Linked DNA regions of Nothobranchius furzeri. The protein of the gene in region 1 interacts with the protein of each later gene in a pairwise test. Links are inferred from orthologs where the notes say so. Each region holds a gene or a part of one and is shown on either strand. Other genes may lie near its edges. The genes, in order: lamtor5, tcap and git1.

Region 1 (4,305 bases):
TTTATGGTTTCAAACATAATTAAAGCAGTGGTTCCAAAAGTTGGGGTCCCGATGGCCCAGTGGTTCATGGAACACTGAGTTCTGGCTGTGGAGATGATCAATCACAACCTAAAAATACTGTTTGAATATAACTGATGTAAAAGCTAAAATAAGCCTTGAATCGGACTCAAAACCGTTTGTATTTGTATTTATGTTATTTAGACTTTTGAGATAACAAATTATATCTGAGATTGAAAGTTCGCAGCAGTAATTTTAAATAAATAAATATTCAGGAGCTGTCATTGGGTTGGTAAAATGTTCTGAAAGACGAGATGTTCATTTACCAGAAGATGGCAGCACAACGACATAAATAAAATCCCACAGTTGGTTGACTTCCTCCCTCTCCATCCTCCATGGAGCCTCCGTCCACTAAAGAGGACATTGGCTTTTTAATTTTTTATTCTGTAGTTCAACTTTGGACCCGTTTTTAATGATGATGGGGTTATTTAAATGTCTACGAGGTTATTAGGGGAAATTAAAAAGGGCTTGGAGTCTCAAGAAAATATCTCAGCTGCCTTTTGGGAAAGAAATGAACAACATTCTGGAATCTAATGCCAAGAACCGAGCATGTTCAGTTCAAAGTCACAAATGGCATTGCCTTTGGTAAGTAAATAGAAACTGGAGGAACCAGATAAGCGTACTGGTTTTAGCAACCGCGATGAAGGCTCGGACCCGGATGCTAATAGCTGCTGGGAGACAGTGAACCACTGGATCAGATTCAGAACCCTGAGTCTCTGGTTCTGATCTCTCTCAAAAAGCTTTTTTTAGAGTAATTGATCTCCGTACACATTAATCAGAACCCCCAAAGGTACATCTTAAATACCCCGAGATAGATTTTTAAAAAGAATTACAAGTCAAGCTAAAACCCGGTCAGTGCTCTCACCCTGACTCAGACTCCAGGCACACGGTCGGGGTGACTGTTGGGTCTCTGGTGAGCGCCATAGCTTGTTTGGACAAAACAGACACAACACCACCATGTTCATCAGACAAGGAGCCACGACCTAAAAGAAAAAAGAAAAGAAACACGCAATGAATTATTTAAATGTCTTAAAAAAAGGAAATCAGTGCATCTTTCAAACAGTCATTTTCTGTGATTTGTGTTAATTCCAAACCTGTATACAACAATGACCTCCTTATGAAGGATTGTTAACATATTACAAACATTTCTGTCCCACTGCTGTTATTTAGTCCAGACTGAGGATTTCTGAATTCTGGGGTCTCTCGAGGATCTGAATCATGTTGAACTCATTGTTTGGTTTCTGTCTTCTGCATCTTTTGACTATTTCATTTAGGTTTGTCCATGTACCAGGGAAACATTGCTACTGACTACACAAAACAATACTCATGTTTACCCACTTCCAACAGTTACATCATAACCTTTTCAAAATAACTTTCAACAAGACCTAAAAAGATAATAAAAGTATGAGGACGCTAACAAAGAGCTTAGACTTTGCTGGATGCCTCTGTTATAAATATTAATTAAACCGAACAGAAAAAATATATATACTGATATATCCATCATTTTTCTTCCAATTATCAAAGTCTGGGTTGCTAACAGGTCCAGGAGCGAAGCTCAGATTTCTCTGATCTCAGTGACTCTCCATCTCCATCAAGACAGCTAGAGGGCAGACAGCCCCTCCAGCAAGTTCTATGCTCCAGCAACCGTCAAGCTGTGATTCTTCAGACCACATGATACCTGTCAGCTGCTGCAGGAGTCCTCTGGGAAGTAAAATAATTACTTTATATTATCATCAGTTGTTCTGCTTTGTGTTTCATTGCACAGCTGATGAAAATGGACTGGATATGTTCTGAATTCACAGCCTAAGTAAAATTTAGAGCATGTTCATCTCCCTGAAGTTTGATGAATTGTAGAAGAGATCAAAGTTCAAACTAAACCATGGAAGCCAAACAAGTAACACAGAATCAATTCCACGGAGTATTCACTTTCCCAATGACAGTAATTGTTGTATGTGAATAATGTTCATAAATGACCTCACTAACTAACTGCGTGGTTATTAAGCATTTAGTATTTATTAGTTTATGAGTAATAATCAACAATAAACAATTATAAGCATCATTTTGGATTGGTTGTGTTTAGAGAATTATAAAAACATTACATTTTAATTTTAATTATACCTCATTAGCCTTTGTGATTAAATTTAATTACAGCAGCTTCCTGTTGACCTGTTAAACAGCCAGAAGAGCTCATTCCATCAGAAATGCTAATCTCATTATGCTAACAGTGCAAACACTGTGAAGATTTTCTGGCATGTGAAATAAGTTGAGATTTTAATGGTTGAAATGTATGATTCACAGTAACTTCAACTATACTGTAGTATGTATTTCAACCTTTACAGATGAAAATAGCTAAACTGAAGGAAATAATATTATTTGTGTGTTACATTAATAGCTTTTGCTGCAACTAAGTTATTTCATTATTCAAAAAAAAAAGAACACGACACTGACGTAGCCTTGTAAAAGCTAACTAAACCGAATATGTTTCATACATTTTGCTGTAAATCTTTTTTAAATTAATCTTACAGCCCAGGTTGTGTCCTTGGTGATCTGTGCAGAGCACACCGACAACTGCTGGATTCTTCATGCTACAAAAAAACAAGGAGAAAGGCTTTAATGAAACAAAAAGTGAAGTACGTCAGCAGTTAGAGTGAGATTTTTAACGTACGTGTCATCGAGATGCTGTTCAAGAGTCGACTCCATCGTTAACAAACGAAAAGAGAGAAGGTTTAATTGTTTACAGTTTCATCGACGTTTCCGGTTAGAGTCAGCTGACCGTCACGTGCGCTACGAGTCACAACGAGGACCAAAAAGTGTGACGCGAAAGAGAAAGAGAGAGAGAGAGAGAGAGAGAGAGAGAGAGAGAACGCAAAATCTTTCCATTTACATTACATAAACAAAATAGGCATAGATAGATAGATAGATGATTGATAGATAGATAGATAGATAGATAGATAGATAGATAGATAGATAGATAGATAGATAGATAGATAGATAGATAGATAGATAGATAGATAGATAGATAGATAGATAGATAGATAGATGATAGATAGATAGATAGATAGATAGATTGATAGATTGATAGATAGATAGATAGATAGATAGATAGATAGATAGATAGATAGATAGATAGAAAGAATTAGCATTTTCCTTCAAGTTTTATTAAATTTTCCAATAATAATAATAATAATAATAATGTTATGGGCGGCACCACCTCATCCCCCGTCACACTGAACACTGGTGCACCGCAGGGGTGTGTGCTGAGCCCTCTCCTGTACTCACTCTACACCTACGACTGCACGGCCACGAGAAACTCCAACATCATTGTGAAGTATGCGAACGACACCACAGTGATAGGTCTCATCACCAATCACGATGAGACGGCCTACAGGGAGGAGATCAGCGCCCTGACCCACTGGTGTCAGGACAACAGTCTCACCCTCAACGTCACAAAGACAAAGGAGATGATAGTGGACTTCCGGAGGAGCAGAGGAAGCAGAGGAATACACCCCCCCATCACCATCAACGGCGACGCTGTGGAGAGGGTGAGCAGTTTCCGTTTCCTTGGAGTTCACCTGGCAGAGGATCTTACGTGGTCAGTGCACACGGAAAATACAGTGAAGAAGGCACAGCAGCGCCTCTTCTTTCTCAGAAGACTGAAAAGATTTGGCATGAGCCACCGTATCCTCAGGACCTTCTATTGCTGTGCCATTGAGAGCATCCTCACTGGATGCATCTCCACCTGGTATGGCAACAGCACCGCTTACAACCGCAAAGCTCTCCAGAGAGTAGTGCGGTGTGCAGAAAGGATTATTGGAGGTGAGCTTCCCTCCCTCCAGGACATCTATAAGAAGCGGTGCCTGAGGAAAACGGGGAGGATCATCAAGGACTCAAGTCACCCCAGCCATAAACTGTTCAGACTACTTCCATCAGGAAGGAGGTTCTGCAGCATCCGGTCCAGAACCAGCAGACTGAGAGACAGCTTTTTCCATCAGGCCATCAGACTGCTGAACACTTCACAGACACCTCACCCTCACTACTGAAACTCCAACATTACACATTCCATACTGTACATTAATGCCACTGTTTTGCACATACCAGCCTCTATATATTTTATATCTCTTATCTTATTGTTTACTTTATTCATTTGTATATTTGGATTAGCCATTTTTATATTTTACATGTTTTTACGTTACTGTATTTTTGCACAACTCTGTTGCTGTGAAGCTCGCACACAAGAATTTCACTCGC
Region 2 (3,289 bases), on another chromosome or scaffold:
AAATTATTATAGTTATTAGTATTAGTTAAAAATATAATGTTTTTCCTGTGTAAACTGTTCTCTCACAAAGTTGTTTTTCATTACTTTGTTACTTTTAATAAACTGTGTTAAAAAAGACAGATTGAACGTACAAAGGAGTTTAGAATAAAGTTTGTTTTTGTTTGTTGTCACTTCACTCAATTACTTTTGATGCTTTAGACATTATTGAAAAAATACCAGAAATTGATCTTTTAAAGGGATAGTAGGCAGTTTTGGCTTGCCTTTATCGCCCCCTAGTGTCTGTTAGTGAAAGCAAAAGTGAATCTCCTCTTCTTGCTGTACGTTCGTCTTTTTAACACCTTAATCTAACTGCTAATTGTCTCCCCAGCCTTCATCAGGAGGGATTCATCACTGAATTAAACAAATCAGCTGTGTTCATGATCTAAACCATGCAGAAGACATGCTGGAAGCGGACTGCAGCGCCAGCACGTCAGCTCCACATCAGACTAAAGTGGGACTTAACAGGGAGCTGCTCAGATACTTTAAGATGGGTGATTCATTCATCTTCGTTGTAGTCATTTTGTTTTTCTCTACGTAAAACCTAATTTAGGGTTTTTCAAGAATATCACAGAAACAAGTCTGAAGACAAGGAAATTATGAGTACTTAAAGTTTTATTAGCAAAAATATTTCATTTCCAATAAACAAATATCATCATTTCACACATTAAAAAGTTGTTCATGATCTCAGCCAAACTTGTGTCTGCTGTCAGGATCAGACAGCAGCTGCCACTCAGCTAACAGGAAGAATGAGTTAATGAAGCGAGACGAAAACAGGTACCAGTCTACACACACACACTCACTCAGGAACAGCAGCAGTGTGTGATGGTGCCAGTGCATTCTGTTCTCTCCATACAGAACTGGCAGAAGCTCCTGGGAGGTGACCAACCCAAACATCACGTTTCATCACCATACCACTCCATCCATCCCTTCTTGCCCTTCAAACACTTTCAACCTTCTTTCTGATAACTTGCATCGCCATCGTTCTGTTAAACTTGCACTTTTCACAATAAAAGTGCACTAGTGCTAGCATCACATTCACAAGTGGATCAAACAAGCTAACATATTCTCTTCTTTTTCCGCCTCTATCTTTTCCGTTCAGCCTCTTTGGGCTTCCTGTGACATGGAGCGACCCAGAGCTCTGGGGGCTTTAGTGAACTCCATGAGGACCGGTTTGATGGGGGGGAGGTCTCTGGTGATCTCGTCCACACTCCTCTTGCTGGGGCAGACCCCATCTCGTGTGGGGAAGGGCTGCAGGTCGTGCTCTGTGTGCGGGGCACCACGTCCCAGCCTGACACCCAGCTCTGTTGGGGTAAAGATGGGCAGGGGGAGGGTGTGTCTCTTTGGCAGCAACTGGTGCTCCTTCATCCCTCTTTCCACAGTGCCCACCCTGAAGACACCAGAGGGGCAGGTCTGGATCAGAGAGCGGTACTGCCACTGCCGGGAGAGGGTCTCTCTACGGGAGTCGTCCTTCATGCTCATGGTTTGTCTGTGGGCATCAGACGACAGTTCAACTTAGAGACTTAATAACACTCCAAGGTTAAAACAAGAGGAATCTCAGTACAAACCACTGAGTAGATGGAGCATGTGGTGTCTCACCTGTCCTGAGGTTGAGTTTTCAGATCAACGCTGTGCCAGTCAGCACTGTAGCTCTCCCTCTTAGCCGTGTTTTCCTCCCGGATGCTGCAGGCCAGCTCTGCTCCCACCACCATGCCGTTACTCTTCTCCAGTATGCTGCAGAATGGCATGTTTTCTACTGTCTGGGGATCTTGGGTTCCTGAAAGCTGGTTCTCTCTCTGAGACGTCTAGACTCTCTCTTCAGAGTGTTTGAGTGGCACAGCGATCTGTCCACAGCTTTTATAGACGCCCCGTGACTATTTCTGATTCACGTTGTCATTCTGCTTCCAGTGTGTACTGACATCTGACACCGACTACTCCGCGGTTCATTCCCGGACAGCTGGAATCCAAACTGAGGATGAGTTGAAGGGTGGTTGGCCAGAAAATCCCCCTGGCTTCTGAAAGCACTCAGCCCACTTCAGCGGCGGTCGCAGAGGGGACAGAACAATCGGCGCTATGAATAGAGGTATGATAAACTTGTATGTTCAGCTGTGAAACGGGACAGCAGCCGCTTTATAAGGACATTTCAGATGATATAATCATCATTTTTTATCGTTAAAAAACAACCGGGCCTCATGACAACACCAGCCCCTCCGCTGGACGTCTTTCAAAGCTCCAAAGCGTGTGATTCATTACCTCAGTGACAGAGCACCACTCAAGCTGTTAGCAACTTGGGTTACTGACCGAAACACACACACACACACACACACACACACACACACACACACACACACACACACACACACACACACACACACACACACACACACACACACACACACACACACACACACACACACAGACACACTCACCTCTGCCAGTTATGTGTTGGTGTTATGTTACTACCAGTCCCTGTCTCTGACTCATTCACCCACATGGGGCACTGAAATCATCATCACAACACAGATATCACTTATCACACACACAGCATAATAATAAGGCATCTAAACGACCAGTTAGGCAGGAACACCAATCATCTAGACTTCTTACAAACCTCACGCTTTCTTTCCTCTCATTGTGGGACTTATTCTCATCTCTTTTTATCATCTTTCCATGTCTTTACCATTCGAGATGGCGGTTTAGTGTTATTTTCGTGCCAAGTGCAAAAACGTTTTCACCTGTTTCTTAGCAACTTATCAGCTAGTTGACACAACATGACAGGAATGCTGCCACGGTGAGAAAAAAGGTGTAAAGCAGCCGCTGGCATCCCAAAGGTCATCTGTTTAGGTCAGAAAATCAGCGTGACATGTTTTTGTCATTTAAAGAGACTTCCTGTTTACGTCCTGCTCACTGTCAAAAGGAGGAACGCGGATAATGATGTTTTTGCTTGTGCGTTTTTAGCTAAATATCTTATAAATCATTTAACATGTTTTGATAAAATAAAATATTAAATAAACGGCTGCAGTGGCGCAGTGGTTGGCACTGTTGCCTAGCAGCAAGAAGGTCATGCAGAAGGACCCCTGGCCTGGGGTCCTTCTGCATGGAGTTTGCATGTTCTCCCCGTGGGTTCTCTCCAGGTTCTCCGACTTCCTCCCACAGTCCAAAAGCATGAATGTCAAGTTGATTGGTTTCTCCAAAATTTCCTTAGGTGTGAGTGTGTGTGTGTGTATGGTTGTTTGTCCTGTGTGTCCCTGTG
Region 3 (4,381 bases), on another chromosome or scaffold:
TCCTTGCCAAAAATATATAAATGTTATTGACCCAAACTTAAGCACAGATCTCATGTTCAGCAGCTCAATCAAAATGTGATTTTTCTCTCCTGTTTCTACATTCAGGGACACAAATCGTTTGTTAAAGTTATTTTTTTAACAAAAGTTGGCACTTTTCAGTTGGAGTTGAATATTGTTTATTTTGCAATTTTTGTACTCTTAATTTTTGTTTAAATTAGTATTTTACCCAAGAAAGAAGTTTTGCACTTATGTTTTTATTTAAAATTATATGCAAAGTAAATCTTTTACCGTAAATGCAAGTTAAAGACAGATAATTTTTTTTCTCTGTTTTTGGATTGAAAAGTATGATGCATTTATCCCTGTTAGTTGTCGCACTGTTTGGGTTGGTTTAGTTTTACCTGTATTTGAATGTATTGTTAATGTTTGAGAAAATGGTGTTACTCTAATGGGAATGTTTGTCACATTTCACTCTAGACAACAGAGTATGACTCAAAACACACCTGGCACTTTGATTCCAAGAGGGTTTTCAGTTATTCGCCATTCATCCCTGAAGAGCATTACACGTTTTGCTTTTGATTAAATAAAAGCAAAAGTAGCTTCAAGTGGTCTGCTGTTTGTACTTGTTGGTGTCCTTTTCTTGGGGGGGGGGGGGGGGGGGGGTGTAATCGGAAAAAATCGGAAATCGAATTAAAGAAAATAAAATCGGAGATTTTATTTTTTGGGCGTATCACCCTGCCCTAAAAGAAAGTAAATCTGTGTTTTGTGATCAGCTTAATTTGACATGAACACGACAAACACGCTTTCTTGACAATCTTTGTGAGTAAAAAAACGTGTAGAAATAAAAGCGAACAGCGTGTTATTAGGGAAATAGCGAGCAAGCGGCGTTGATGCAGGATTGCGCATGCGCCGTGAGCGGTTCTGATACTTTTTGGGTTGCAGCTGCTCGCAGCTCCGCTTCAACAGTGCCATACCCTCACGAGGGACGAGCAAAATTTTAAACACGCCAGAAGTCCGTGCGACCTCACGACTGCTGATCGGCAGCTGGTCACGTGGTGTTAGGCCCTGTCCACACGTAGCCGGGGATCTGCCAAAACGTAGATATTTTTCTGCGTTTTGGCCTGTCATCCACACGAAAACGGAGCTTTTTCACACGAAAACTGATCTTTTTAAAAACTCCGGCCAAAGTGAAGATCTGCGTTTTCTCCGTTGTGGGTGTCTGCGTGTGGACGGACAAAACCGGAGTTTTAAGGTCCGCAACGTCACTTTCCGCGACAAAAAATGCTGACATCACGTGTGCGACCTGTGTTTACACTAGCCGACAGCATGGATGCCCTCAGAGCTGCGCTCTGTCACTACCCGATCCATCAATTGTCCAAGCGCTTTTTACTTGTTTGTTTTTGCAAGCAGAATTACACCTCCTTGCAGAAGACCACAGACGAAGGACGAGGTTAAGAACGGGGGAAGTACTGCCGCCTACAGGTCTGGCATGTCCTTAACAAAGTATTTATCCGGGTACGTGTGGACAGAGTTTGTTTTTAAAATGCAGTGGTGTGGATGCGAGTTTTTGGAGGGGAGGATATTCGATTTTAAAAAACCCCGGCTACGTGTGGACTAGGCCTTAATCGCCTCTCGTAACCCCCTGTACACTACACGACGCTCGGCGCAAAACTCGCCCCGATGTCGTGGATTCTCGCACGAGTGGAAAATCGGCTCAAAAAAGTGACAAAGTCGCACAGTGTACGCCCGGCTTAACAGGAAGGGGTGGGGAACTCCAAAGTTTCGAGGCACAGATACAAAAAGCCCTCAAACATGCCTTAGGGATGGTGAGGAGGAGTTTATCTGCAGACCTAAGAGCACCAGAGGGGTGGTAGAAATGGAGGAGTTCACTTAGATAGGGAGGGACCTGACTTCAAACATTTGATTGCAAGCAGTAGGACTTTGCAGTTAATCCTGATCAGAACGGGAGTGATGTGCTGTCTTCTGTCAGCTCCAGTCAGAAACCTGCTGCTGGTCTGGAAAGAGAAGCTTTGCTGATGCCACATAAACAGGAGTTGGAGTGATCAGACCTTCTGATGCAACAGGGACCAGTTAGGCTGAAGAACCGTAATGATGCTCCTAAAAGTGACAAAACCTCATCCGGATGACGCTGACTCATGATAACCAAACCACTCGGGGGTCAGAGTTGTTTTACTGGTCCCCTTGCCTAAGGGACACTGCTGCGACACTCATGCAAACTTTTATCACGTCTCAATTTTCACGACACGACTTTAATCTCAAACTCCGGATCAGCTTGGCTGGAGTGGCTAGCAGCTTAAGCTAAGCTAACAACAAAGGCAAACTCTATTAGCCACCACCAGTAACCTGCTACAGATGTGTGTTATCGTCCTTATAAACAGGTACAGGGCTTTTAACCGCGGTGTAGCGGCGTTCAGCTATTTTTCACGGTTTGTCTGGGGCCTAGTTGACGACACTCCCGGCCGTTTCCTGCTCTGAAAGCCCACAGTGGCAGCATCCCCGGCCCCGTTAGCCCTCCCCTGGCATTGTTCCGTTTTTATTTACCCCGCTGCCTACCTGGAGCACTGCAATCAGCGCACACTTCTGTCCTTTGAAGCTTTCTTGACATATCGGAAGTGGCCGCAACAGTCAGCTGAAGTCTGCGCCGATGTGAAAACCAGAGACGGATGTCTGCCCTCCAGCCGCTGCGGTCCTATAGTCTCCGGAAGCCGGGTGTCGTGGTCAGCTTTCCCAGCCGGTTGATTGCTGGATCTCCCCCCACCCCACAGCCCAGCCTGGCTCAGAGAGAACTGGTTCTTCCGAACATCGTTAATCCTTAATATAGGGAACGCTGTGTGTTGTTTTATTGCCTGTATTTATGAATTTGTGCTTTTATTGTGAAAAGATTAAACAGGAAGTAAGAAACCTTGACCTCAGGGAGCCCAGCGCTATGAGGGAGCATAACTCTTCTGTTTTGGTGTATTTGAAACATGAGCCGAAGCTTCGGCTGCAAACAGATCGTTCGTAGTTCGGTGCGCACTGCGCAGCAAAAAGCTCAGGTGAAACGCAGCTCCGGTGTGAGTCGTTTATTCCGCTCCTGGAACCTACGGGACACACACGTTAACGTCACAGGGAGACTGCAGCTCTACCGTTGGCTGGAGGATGTGTTCAGAGTGCCTCTGTGCGGTGTTCAGAGACGAGAAAATACGTCGTTTTTACGGTGCTCTGAAAACTTCACGAAGACGACGTTCTGAAGGGATTTTCAACTGGTTTTTCGGCGTTGGAAGTTTAAAAACGGAGATTTGAACGCCGTTTTACAACAAAACCTGCTCAAAAGTGAACGGATTTCGATCCAATCGGATTGCCATACACGAATGCACGAGCACCTGCAGCTGTTTGTTCATAAACCAAACAAACTCGCGGTGCTGAGGCGGAGAAACGGATTAGCTTAGCAGGAAGTCAACTCCGCACGAACATGCTTGTGAGCGGAAACGGCCCGGTGAGTCGTATTAGTATCTCTTTAGAGTAAAAAGTTGCATCAGATTAGCTTTACTTAAATTTCCTTTTTACTTCTGAAACTTTCAAAATAAGTGTCTAAAATTTCATTTTAAATAAATACATAATTCCACTTTACGGTAATGCAGAAGCGGGGTTAGGAGGTGGCCACTTGGGCTCAAGCCCCGGATGTTTTCTGAAAAGCCCCAAACCTAAATTAGACTTTTGAAGGGGAAAAAAAAAATCACTGTGTGTTTTTCAATATTAAGGCACCAAGTCATTGCCTTGCTAGGCCTGGCGCCTTTCTTTTGAGGACACTGTTCTTCCTTGGTCAAAGAAAACGATTAAAATGGAACAGACTTACTCCACAGGAGGTGAAGTTATATTTTTGTATAACAAGCCTTTTACTTTTTAAATTGTGTATATACAGGGGCACAGATAGGATTTTCAAACTGGGGGGGGGGGGGGATGTTCCAATATACCCTCCCCCAAACACATGCGCGCGCGCACACACACACACACACTATTGCAAGCACCTTAACTAGAGCTCAGTTTGTGTAATTTCCTCCAATGGTTTACGTAAAAACTATTGTATACGCGTCTGAAGCCATTATGCAGTGGAACGCTGGCAACACAGCTCTGCCTGATCAACACTATAAATGATAAATGATCCGCACTTGTATAGCGCCTCTCAGAGTAAGGACTCCAAAGTGCTTTACACTACAGTGTATCATTCATCCATTCACACACTGATGGTGATGAGCTATGATGTAGCCACAGCTGCCCTGGGGCACACTGACAGAGGCGCTCCACTATTTAATTCAGTCATTTGTTATTCTTCCAATTACTAACCAAAACCTCATGCTTTATGCAAAACATTAAATGATTTTCA

What was found.
Region 2: the proteins of lamtor5 (region 1) and tcap interact in binary tests that used the Homo sapiens proteins (3 or more experiments, as listed by UniProt). The link is inferred for Nothobranchius furzeri from reciprocal best matches to the Homo sapiens genes LAMTOR5 and TCAP.
Region 3: the proteins of lamtor5 (region 1) and git1 interact in a two-hybrid assay, tested with the Homo sapiens proteins (2 studies listed by BioGRID and IntAct). The link is inferred for Nothobranchius furzeri from reciprocal best matches to the Homo sapiens genes LAMTOR5 and GIT1.

What each region holds. Positions count from the first base shown.
Region 1 is NC_091755.1:27,982,157-27,986,461, reverse strand, and holds the start of lamtor5 (ragulator complex protein LAMTOR5), read right to left. Parts: upstream 2,865-4,305; 5' UTR 2,758-2,864; coding exon 2,723-2,757; intron 2,643-2,722; coding exon 2,581-2,642; intron 1,041-2,580; coding exon 923-1,040; intron 1-922. UniProt on the Homo sapiens protein: As part of the Ragulator complex it is involved in amino acid sensing and activation of mTORC1, a signaling complex promoting cell growth in response to growth factors, energy levels, and amino acids.
Region 2 is NC_091745.1:14,198,690-14,201,978, forward strand, and holds tcap (telethonin), read right to left. Parts: upstream 2,008-3,289; 5' UTR 1,785-2,007; coding exon 1,636-1,784; intron 1,526-1,635; coding exon 1,135-1,525; 3' UTR 634-1,134; downstream 1-633. UniProt on the Homo sapiens protein: Muscle assembly regulating factor. Mediates the antiparallel assembly of titin (TTN) molecules at the sarcomeric Z-disk.
Region 3 is NC_091753.1:16,485,219-16,489,599, forward strand, and holds the start of git1 (ARF GTPase-activating protein GIT1), read right to left. Parts: upstream 2,878-4,381; 5' UTR 2,624-2,877; coding exon 2,572-2,623; intron 1-2,571. UniProt on the Homo sapiens protein: GTPase-activating protein for ADP ribosylation factor family members, including ARF1.